Neodiprion lecontei: one gene and its partner. Each later gene encodes a partner of the first gene's protein in a complex. Links are inferred from orthologs where the notes say so. Each region holds a gene or a part of one and is shown on either strand. Other genes may lie near its edges. The genes, in order: tRNA-splicing endonuclease subunit Sen34 and uncharacterized protein LOC107227980.

The links.
Region 2: the proteins of tRNA-splicing endonuclease subunit Sen34 (region 1) and uncharacterized protein LOC107227980 are in contact, whole or in part, in a crystal structure (PDB 6Z9U), measured with the Homo sapiens proteins. The link is inferred for Neodiprion lecontei from reciprocal best matches to the Homo sapiens genes TSEN34 and TSEN15. Residues at the interface, in NP_001070914.1 of Homo sapiens: Pro251, Leu252, Arg253, Phe254, His255, Ala256, His257, Tyr258, Pro265, Glu266, Asp267, Thr268, Ile269, Pro270, Leu271, Gln272, Leu274, Ser283, Val284, Arg285, Lys286, Thr287, Leu289, Leu290, Cys291, Ser292, Gln294, Val300, Tyr301, Thr302; in NP_443197.1 of Homo sapiens: Leu70, Lys74, Trp76, Thr108, Pro109, Ile110, Thr111, Ala112, Ser113, Leu114, Ser115, His116, Asn117, Ile119, Arg120, Leu123, Leu141, Ile143, Val151, Tyr152, Tyr153, Lys154, Leu155, Thr156, Asp157, Gly158, Phe159, Met160, Leu161, Pro162.

Annotation. Positions count from the first base shown.
Region 1 is NC_060264.1:17,183,979-17,188,920, forward strand, and holds the start of tRNA-splicing endonuclease subunit Sen34, read right to left. Parts: upstream 3,068-4,942; 5' UTR 3,053-3,067; intron 1-3,052. UniProt on the Homo sapiens protein: Constitutes one of the two catalytic subunit of the tRNA-splicing endonuclease complex, a complex responsible for identification and cleavage of the splice sites in pre-tRNA. It cleaves pre-tRNA at the 5'- and 3'-splice sites to release the intron.
Region 2 is NC_060261.1:8,991,358-8,997,234, reverse strand, and holds uncharacterized protein LOC107227980, read right to left. Parts: upstream 4,022-5,877; 5' UTR 3,827-4,021; coding exon 3,803-3,826; intron 3,663-3,802; coding exon 3,581-3,662; intron 3,169-3,580; coding exon 2,997-3,168; intron 2,912-2,996; coding exon 2,680-2,911; 3' UTR 513-2,679; downstream 1-512. UniProt on the Homo sapiens protein: Non-catalytic subunit of the tRNA-splicing endonuclease complex, a complex responsible for identification and cleavage of the splice sites in pre-tRNA. It cleaves pre-tRNA at the 5' and 3' splice sites to release the intron.

The DNA of each region.
Region 1 (4,942 bases):
TTGAAACAGTGTCGGAATTTTTTGCAGATTTCTTTAGCCACCACTGAAAGAGAAAAAAAAATGAAAAACCAATTCCGGAAACGCTTCTTTTAAAATTCTGAAAAAATTCACACTGATTTTATAATTAAAAATATGATTTGTAAGCATGACAGGACAACGTGATCTCAACATTCACTACTTTTCTAGCAAGCATTTTTTTCTCATGCCGGAATTGGAGTTTCTATTTATTTGTTCGGTCATAAATTTCTCTATTATTAATGGATATCAATTTTTCTGAAATTTAGAGGAATGCCAGAAGGCCTGAATACAGTTCATACCATTTCATTCTTTTTTTTTAAGTTATCCAAAGATCCAAGAAAACCAAAAACTTGCTAGAAAAGTAGTAGATGTTAAGATCACGTTGTCCTGTCATGCTTACAAATCATATTTTTAATTATAAAATCAGTGTGAATTTTTTCAGAATTTTAAAAGAAGCGTTTCCGGAATTGGTTTTTCATTTTTTTTTCTCTTTCAGTGGTGGCTAAAGAAATCTGCAAAAAATTCCGACACTGTTTCAAGTCGATTGAAACCGTGGTTGTAACATCATACTAAAGAATTATCAAAATCGAAGAGGGTGAGGTACATGGGTTGCAAATTTGACGCGGAATGCCCCATATACAATGTATATCTATTAGGATGGTCGTTGAACGGATTATTTACGTTAATGGCTTCGAATATAAAAAAACATCTCTAATTTTGTCAGATTTTCATTTCGAGTTCTTAGTGGCCTTATGTGATTTTCTTTTTAATTAGAAAAAAAGGTAATTTTATAATATCCGGAATCTCGCCTATTGACAGTGGTCTCAGATAGGAAATATCCTCAGGATTAGGAAAAAAATAATTAAAGAAATCCCACCTGTGCGCAAAATTGTTAAGAATCGATTTGAATACCAAAAAATTAAGGAAATTTGGAAATTGAGGAAAATGTTTTCCCAAAAAAAAAAAAGAAAAAATGATCGAAAATGTGTACTATATTCTTGGGCACTAGAATGGAATTCCCCACACATCTTCTTCCTATACAATCAAAAATAAAAACGTCTGACAATTCAAGGAAAATTAAATAAAGTATAAAATACGACTACAGGTCCTTCCCTTTTTTTCTCTTCTTAATCTATAAAGTAAATAGACGATCGTCAAACCTGCCGGTTTTTCCATACATGTAAAATAATTATGTAATTCACTTACCATCTTGCTACCTCGAGAGCTGCTGGCACTAAACTGAACACTGTGAAGCCTCTCAACTGGCTGCGAATATCAGAAAAGGAGAGGGGTCCATACATTGTTGCTACTGAAATAATTTTGTCGTTCCGATCTCGCATCTCTCAAACTTCTTAAGAAATGCTCGTCAAGACTGATATAAAATGGGCGTTTTTTTTTTAATAAGGAAAAGTTTTGACAGTAATGGAAAATAGAGATTACTAAAAACAAATGTATTGTTTTTTAATAACACCGGCCCAATTAAATTTTAAAAGGCTTATGGCTGAATAAACTTCAGATTTGGGTTTAGCGGACCAAAATGCATAAAAATCATACTTGGTCTATAGTTCCATAAATTTTTTTCTTACCAAAAATGCTAATTTTTGGCGATTTTTATGGTTTTTTTGCAATTTACTCAAAATTTTGAGGGTGTACGGGCAAAACTGACTTCAGATTCGGATTCAGCGCGTCAAAATACATAAAGATAGGTAGGTCCGGTCAAAAGTACAGGCCACTTTTTTTCTGTGGGCCGGTGTTATTAAAAAACAATACATTTGCGTTTAGTAATCTCTATTTTCCATTACTGTCAAAACTTTTCCATATCAAAAAAGAGGCGCCAAAAACGCGGAACAAATCGATTCGCTCTCGGAATTTTATTGTTTCAATTATTTGTTCTCTTCCGGGTTACCCCCACTACAAAAAAGGTGGGTTCAGTAAAAAAAAAAGCAAAAGGAAAGAAGGAAAAAATCGACCGGCTCTCGAAATTTTCTTTCTTTGATTTGTTTTTTCTCTCCGAAAATACAAAAAAAAAAGCCGGGATTGAATTTAAAAATAAAAAAAAAAAAAGAGTGAACTGCGATCGAACCCGTGTCCCGCATCACTCCATCCTCATGTTTTTTTTTTTTTTTTTGAGGAGGAAACCATATTTATTTAGATGAACAATAAATGCTCAATATTTACAATATTGCACTTGTAATTATCTTAGTTTATGTAACTCCGGCTTAAATTTTAAGCTCGATCTAACATTTTGTTTTACATTAAGTGGTTAACTTATTTTTTAGTGTTTTGTTTAAGACTTGAATGCAGTATTATAGCAAAGGCAGTAGTAATTAACTTAAATACAGGAAAACTTCGCGCAAAAACCTGTGATTGAAAATTCATCCTCATGTGGTATCCACTCAGCCACACCACAGCTACGTCCGTGATCGCGCGTTTGCTCGGTATGTTTATGGAGCTTGCTTGGAATTCGCTGATGGTTCTCTGGAAGATTCAGTTCGAGAAAAAAAAAATTTCCTCCAACCACTTGCCCATTGCACATTTTGCATAAATGTTATCGAGCTGGCTTCGTATATTTTTCCATAGACAGCGCGTACAAATATTCGAGAACACCAGGCGTCACATATTTTCATATCAATAAAAAAATAATATTTATTAAAAAAAAAGAAGTATTCGGGCTGGGAATGGTTAATTATTTTGGTTCAGCGTCCGCTAATTGAATCCAAAATTTATCAAATCTGGAGATACTTTTATTCGCTGACATTCATAATTGAAACAAAAAAATCCCAATTCTTGCATTCCTGGAAACATTAGTGCGAGCGGGGACAAGGATGCGATTGGCAACCGCTTGCTCGAGCGACCGAGTATATCTATATATGCACGATTGTGGGCCACCTTCGGTGCATGGCCGCCTAGGTGTCAGGTCGGAAATGGGCCACCTTCGGTGCGTGGCCGCCTAGGTGTCACGTCGACGCTCCAACCTAGCTGGTATCACGAAAAGCCGAGCGTTGGAGATCTCCCTACTCATCTCTGGTAAAACCACGGTGTCACATAGAGGTCTTGCAACGAACGTGGTGGGGGGTGGTCAGTTCACGTCCGAAACAAAAGTACAACTTATGGCCACAGGAGCAGCGCTACGAGTTATTCATAAGCTTATTATTATTATTTGGCGGAACCCTAACCAATCTCTTTGATACTCATGACAGATAACCTTACGTGTAATGTCACTCAGCCCCCTGACACAAGCTGCTAAAAGTGGTTCGCAAAATGTCCCTCGATTCTTCCGCCAATCTCCACCACTACTGGCGCTAGTAGTTGTCTGACGAGCTTGCGTGCGGTCAGCGAGGGCAGCGAGCGTGTCAGAAGTCTACTAGCGCCACGTAGAGGAACTAAAAAACGGGGACAAAACGCGTACAAATTTTTAGTAAACGAGCAATGGTGAGTGTCAGGGGGCTAATGACACTTATATGCCTATGAATAACTGACAGCGCTGCGTAGTGGCCAGTAGTGGCAAAAAAAATTTGGACAATAACGCGGCTACCTCAGCCACTCAAATTTCAGTTCGCTGCAGGACCTGTACCTATATATACAGAGATATAATATAGTCTATAAATATATCACGAATAGCACGGCAGACAGCGAAACTTAAATGAGATATCGGCAAATTTTGAGGTGTCCGTTAATTGTTTGTAAAATTGACAATGATTATATTCAAAATTACCTGGAAGTAGTATATTTCTTCTTTCTAACTTGATAAATTTACACAAACTTAACATAGTTGTTATTCAAGAAGCCCGCGCTCCTAATTGTCAACGGAAAACCTGAAGTTGCTCGCTCTTGAATTTAAATCTCAGAAAGATGAGTATTTCGCATGTTTACATACATGTATTGGGCATCTTATATGGTACAGAAGAATGATTGTGTGTTGCTAGAACGAACCAACAAGATGGTATTATTGTTTTGCCTGATTACTTGTCACCAATGTTGAAGAATTAACAAAAATTACGCAGTGCCTTTATTTAGAAGACTGTATGAATACATGTACACGTTGCAGCAAATCGCCACGGAGTAAAGGTAAATGTTGAAAAAATTTTAAACCATCGACGCCGATATTTTATGTGCAACATATTCCCGGCTTGCAACGGCATTCGACGCGTATGTAGACTTAGTTTTTACCAGTTTTTAGACATAATTTCACTTGTTTTTTCAGGAAAAGAAATAATAGATTTACGTATCTACGAGTAATGGATAATTTATTCGCATTTAGAGTGGACCGTAGAGAGAAATAATTTCGACCAAATTGGAACTACAGAAGCTAAGGTATCAGCAATTCGAGAAAAAGTTTAACAACTAGAACTTTGAATATGGTTAAATTCTAGTATTTCTCATGTGATTCCTATGCTTTCGGGTTTATTTTCTCACGATAGAAATCTCCAGAGATTTCCGGAAAAGTATTTCACAAACGGTTGTCCTCAGTGTAGATGCAAATAGATTTGTGTGAATACAGTACAAGTGTTTGTCAACAATCACATGTGCGTGTTATAACCGTCCTATGATGTAAAATTTTGGAATGTTTTTGAAAAAATTTGTGGAGATCTAGTCAGCGGTCAAAAGAATCCCAAAAACAATAAAACCTGATCAAAATCACAAGAGTTTAGTCATTTTGAACTTACTAATTTTACAATCGTTTTTTAAATCATTGATATCTCTGCTCGTGATATTGAATTTTGGTCAAATTCATTTCTATCACGTAGAAAAGATGCTGTTTCAGTTATATACAATATCATTTGCATAAATAACATAACTAGACGTTTTTTAACCGGTTCTTCCTCCTACCTAAAATTTTGATTCGATCGGTACAACTCATTCATGTAACAATGTATGTTAACGAAAGATTATTACGTTGCACCTTAGGGAATGTCTGAAATTT
Region 2 (5,877 bases), on another chromosome or scaffold:
GTTTCATTCACAAAATTTATTTTGCAGTGATATAATTTGCTTCCAACACGTAGGTAATTCCAATGTAATATTCTCCACGCCAGCACGTTTTCTTTCCTATGTGTACGACATAGTTAATAATTCACACACAATCATGAATCAACAATTAATTGTATATTATTTTTTCAACTACAGTTGCACATTTGCGATTATTGATTATGTAAAAATTAAGTCCTCTAATTGTATTATTATGAGATATTGCCTTTGAATTATAAAAAGATAAAATTTCTACCAGCAAAAGTGTATAATTCAATTTTATGAAAGTATGTGTATAAACTCTGTATTGGCCAAAAGAAAACTTGCTCGTTAGGACGGAAGTTATAATAATTATGCTATTTGCTCACAGCCTGTTTGATAACTGATCAATGCACAATTTGAATTTTGCTGTCAAGATCACAGCACTAAAGTAAAAATTGACCCTCAATTGTCGCTCATTATTTATTTATTTATTTTTTTTTTCTTTGTTTATTTTCCTTGCATTGGTTTCAAATGGAGATTGAACTTTCGAACGGTAGGTGTCGAAAATTGTGGGAAAAAAGTCGACGTAGTCCATGCTTGTTTCATGTGTTTAATTCAGAAAATGCCAACATAGTTACAAAGTGCATTGATGTAATACATTCACTTTTGACAATATTTACAGGCTTGAGAAATGTTTTATGTAGTATGATAAAATATAAGAATTGAGAATATAATTAGTTGTTACAAACACAAGTCTTTCTCATTTCAAAGGCAATTTTTTTATTAAGCTATTAAATCTGGACCAGGTTATGTGGTATCAGTTTTACTTTTCACAATTGACAATCAAAGCAATGATCAAGGTTACGGATTATTTTGATGAAGTTATAAAATTTTTCTCATAAAAAAACAAATCATGCAAGAACCATGTTAAATAACTAGGACTTATTTTGGTAAATTCATACCAATCAATCTGATATTCTATAACAATATTGAATGTGATTTCGGAGTTGCTTTTCTATCTTGAGCAAAAAGCTCAGTTCTCTTAAATTACTGTCCGTGAGATATTGGTAAATAAAAACAATAAAAATTGATCGATAAAAATAATGCAAATATTTGTGATAGTTTCGAGAAAATCTCGATGAATAGTTGCCTTATTGCATTAAAAAATTAATACAATGGTAAATAAGAAATAAAAATTATTTGGTAACTATTTTATAAAGCATTTTTATAATATATTATAATCAACACTGATCAATATCAGGAGGTGCTCACGTTATACTTTATCATAAAAACATCTGATGGACCCATTATGGAGTTTTAATCCAGTTTTGTACCTTCGGTGATTAGGCAACTGTGGTATGATTAATTAGCGGCCTAATTTAAATACCTTTTTAGAAATCATCTCACAGGATACATTCTATACTTTATAAGAAAATGAAGGTAAACGATCAGATATAGATTACGATCGTATTCGTCAAAAGTAAAATAATTTTAATATAAATAAAATTAAAAAAAAAAAAGAAAAATCATTTTAACTGCATATCCAACATAATGAATCATAATCGTAGTATAAGTTGTTGCCAAGAACATAGTTTATTCTAATACATATGTGATTTTTGTATTAATGTCAACCTCGATTCATTGATATGAAGAAAATTGTAATTTTTGAATGCGTGTTGAAATAATTTCAACAATTATTGATAATTACAGTAACACGTCTTGATAAGCTAAATACTAATATATTGTTCTGCAGGCATTGTTCACCTACTTTGCTTCTATATCATCGACGCAACTTTGAACTGCCAAAACTGAACACTTATCCGGGAAACAAATAATCTTTCCGTTTATTTCTAAGCTAGAGCAATTCTTACCAAACTACTCACGTTACGGTATCTTCTCGATTGATTTATTATTATTAATCATCATATTTTTTTGATCGTTGTTTACTATTTTAGGAAGCATTAAATAATTATCGATCATGACTGAACTGTCTATTTAACAAGTAATAAGATTTATCACTTTGAATGTTGAGTTCCATTACTTCCACTTTTAACTGTATAGTTACGCGATCAAATAATTTGCACGTGACTCTAAAAGAAGCACATATTAACATGTATTCGGGAAATAACAAATTCGTATGGTGTATATAACATAAATTACAACATGAAATACCCAATAAATCTTCAATTGTAGATAGTCATATAACTTCTTGTTTTGAAAGTTTTTACTAGTACAGTAAAAACGTTTCCTTACTCAATTTTTACATACATTTACCTAATAACATTGTTAGGTTTTAATCTTAAGATGTGTTCGGTGATGCATTCATTACACTATCCCTAATATTCAACATACCTGTTATGACAAAGAAAACTGTACTATGTGCCTCATACTTTATAGTTTATATACTAAACAACTAATAACCATGATGCCTACGTGATGATTTTAAAGTATTAATTTATTTGATACGTATAATTGCAGTGGCAGCTTGATACAATATTATATTAATTAATTGCGTAGTTTTTAGTGATAACTCTAAAATTTATAAACTTATAATATGCCCAAGAAAAATTATGCATACAATAAATACAAGGAAAAAAAACTCTTTGACTGCAATTATTTTAAATAATTTTATACGGAGCAATTCTTCTGCTTGACTTATATTTCAAGTATGAACTGTGCGTTTCAATCCCCTGCAGACAATTCAGGATTGCTTTGACTCTCTTTACTTTCTACCGAAGTAGCTAATTCATAGAGATTTGAAGCATTTTTTCTTATTTCACTTTCCAATTCAATTTTCTTTTCTTGCCTCTTTTTGTACTCTTTGCTTTGTTCTGGCGATGCCGGTTTTACAAGTCCAGCTGAAACACAGTAATAAATACTGGTACTGTCTCCCTCTACGAAAACCAGTGTCAATCTACAAACAATATAAATTATTGTCAGTCCATTCTCTGCAACAAGTAAATGATTGAAGACATGGTACCAGTAAGTTCTAAAGTTACCGTTCACTCTTCAATTCCTTTTGCATTTGCTCGATATGATTCAAAGATATGGCATTTACTGCTGGCCATGGAATGTATTTTTGCAATGGAGATGATTTGGTTGCACAAGCTTCCAGATAGATCAAGTCAAGTGATTTGTTATACTTGTACTGTACGTCCCAAAACCGTTTCACTAAAACCAGTAATAGGAATGAAAATAAAACGTGCTACTTGAAATTTTAGATTTTGCAAGATTCATAAATGAAAGGAATGTTTCGTGTTACACCTACAGTAGCGTTCTTAATTCTGTCCTGAAGACAAATTAGCAGTAAACATATGAGCATGCTTAAGCGATAAAATACCAAAATAACAAAGAGAAATGGACCAATCGTTTTAGATTCGTATTATACGAATATTGTGGTATAAAAAACTGCCAAACAACCATCATTTTGTTACATGAAGTCATGTGTCGTAATAAAAAAATAAGATAAAACTTTCATAACTAGATGAAACTCTCTTAGAATAGTAGATTCTCTGCCACCAGACGTTTTCGTCTGATGTGTTGGATCACAATTATTTAATCAAGTCGGTGAGTATATCCATACCTTCGCACAGTTCTATGTATGTTTGAAATGCAATCGTGATTTGCAGAGCATTCGTGCAGCCAAGTTTTTCTATATCGCAAAACTGAAAGAATGAGCGTATTAGTTAATTTCCGTAGTCTCTGACGTAGAAAGTGGTTTTGAAGTGAGCGAATGTTTATTCTGACCACATTCTAACACCTGACATGCGAATTTCCAGATGTCAACCGATAAATAAGTACTCACTGCTGGATGACACGTGCTATACATTATGCTCACTGGGCCTTATACGTTTGTCATGCGTTTAAAATGGCGTGGTAAATATAAAGTCTGAACTGCAACAGCGGAGGTGACAGAAAATCCTCACGTGAAAACGTCAAAATTCATTGTCGACCACAAGTGAGACAGAGTCCGCCATCTTCAGATCGGTACATGCCTTGACTGAACAATATAAAGACAGTTTCCCTAATGGACTTTGGTATGACTAACGAAAATCGTTGTGCGCTTGCGCCTCCAGAGATGTTTCGACGGTAGAGTTGAGAACTTGTTGCAGAACATCTGAGAGTGGCCGATTTCGACATGATGCTGGCTGCATTCTCCTACCGAGTAACACCAGAAACTCATCTCTGGTGTAAACGTCAAAACTCATTGTGAACAACAAGTGAAACAGGGTCCGCCATCATCAGGTCGGTGTATGCAGGATCCGAATGATTCGTGTATCGCAGGTTGCAGAAATACGATGCGTCAGGCGGTTGTTTTTTCACCACTTCTGATAAAAATTGTTTATTGGAATAGAATGATGAAACGGTAATGAAAATTAACCTGGTATTTATTTCGCGTACTTATGTCATCAGTGAAAGATGACTACATAAGGTATTTTGACGTGACTAACATACGTGTCCGGTCTTTTCATTTCCGAATTGCGGTGAATTATAAATGCATCACAACACCTGATGTGATTGATTTCAACACATCTAAGGTGACACTAACAATCCTCGACTGAATATTCATACTTAATTGTTCATGGGAAATGCCAGTACCACAGTTCACCCAGCATCGCATATCACATACTTGTAATCTCGATGAGTTACAAATGAAATCTCACCAGTTTGTTTCGTAGGCTAAATAGAGTAGACCGTTGAGTTTCGATAAATTCAAGGAATAAAAAGGAAGGTGGTGCTATCTTACAATTGGTGCTAATACGTTGCGAGCAACGGATCAAGAGTTACGGCCCATGACGACACACGTATTTTTCGACATTTTTCAACAGGTGCTTTTTCCTTCGTAACTTCTCTCCTGTTGATCCCACGCTGTTTTCGCGGCGTTTTCTGAGTTCCTAGGGGTCCAAATGGTCAGGAAAGGGTCATTTAAATCGAATCTGGGACCAAAAATTTTTCGGCTAAAAAAAAAGCAAGGCTAACCCCTTTGCATTTTTGGCGAAAATTTTCGCGATTTTGAAAAGTGCTGGAATAAATTCTTTCATGCACCATTCCGACGTAGTTTTGCGAGAGAAATCGATTGGGCGCAGTCCCAATACGCTGCGATCAACGCATCAAAAGTTACAGCCGAAAAACGAGAACCTGTGTTTTCGACATTTTTCAGCAGGTGCTTTTTCCTTCGTAACTTCTCTCCTGTTGATCCCACGCTGTTTTCGCTGCGTTTTCTGAGTTCCTGGGGGTCCAAATGGTCAGGAAAGGGTCATTTAAATCGAATCTGGGACCAAAAATTTTTCGGCTAAAAAAAAAGCATTTTTGGCGAAAATTTTCGCGATTTTGAAAAGTGCTGGAATAAATTCTTTCATGCACAATTCCGACGTAGTTTTGCGAGAGAAATCGATTGGGCGCAGTCCCAATACGCTGCGATCAACGCATCAAAAGTTACAGCCGAAAAACGAGAACCTGTGTTTTCGACATTTTTCAGCAGGTGCTTTTTCCTTCGTAACTTCTCTCCTGTTGATCCCACGCTGTTTTCGCTGCGTTTTCTGAGTTCCTAGGGGTCCAAATGGTCAGGAAAGGGTCATTTAAATCGAATCAGGGACCAAAAATTTTTCGGCTAAAAAAAAGGCAAGGCTAACCCCTTTGCATTTTTGGCGAAAATTTTCGCGATTTTGAAAAGTGCTGGAATAAATTCTTTCATGCACCATTCCGACGTAGTTTTGCGAGAGAAATCGATTGGGCGCAGTCCCAATACGCTGCGATCAACGCATCAAAAGTTACAGCCGAAAAACGAGAACCTGTGTTTTCGACATTTTTCAGCAGGTGCTTTTTCCTTCGTAACTTCTCTCCTGTTGATCCCACGCTGTTTTCGCTGCGTTTTCTGAG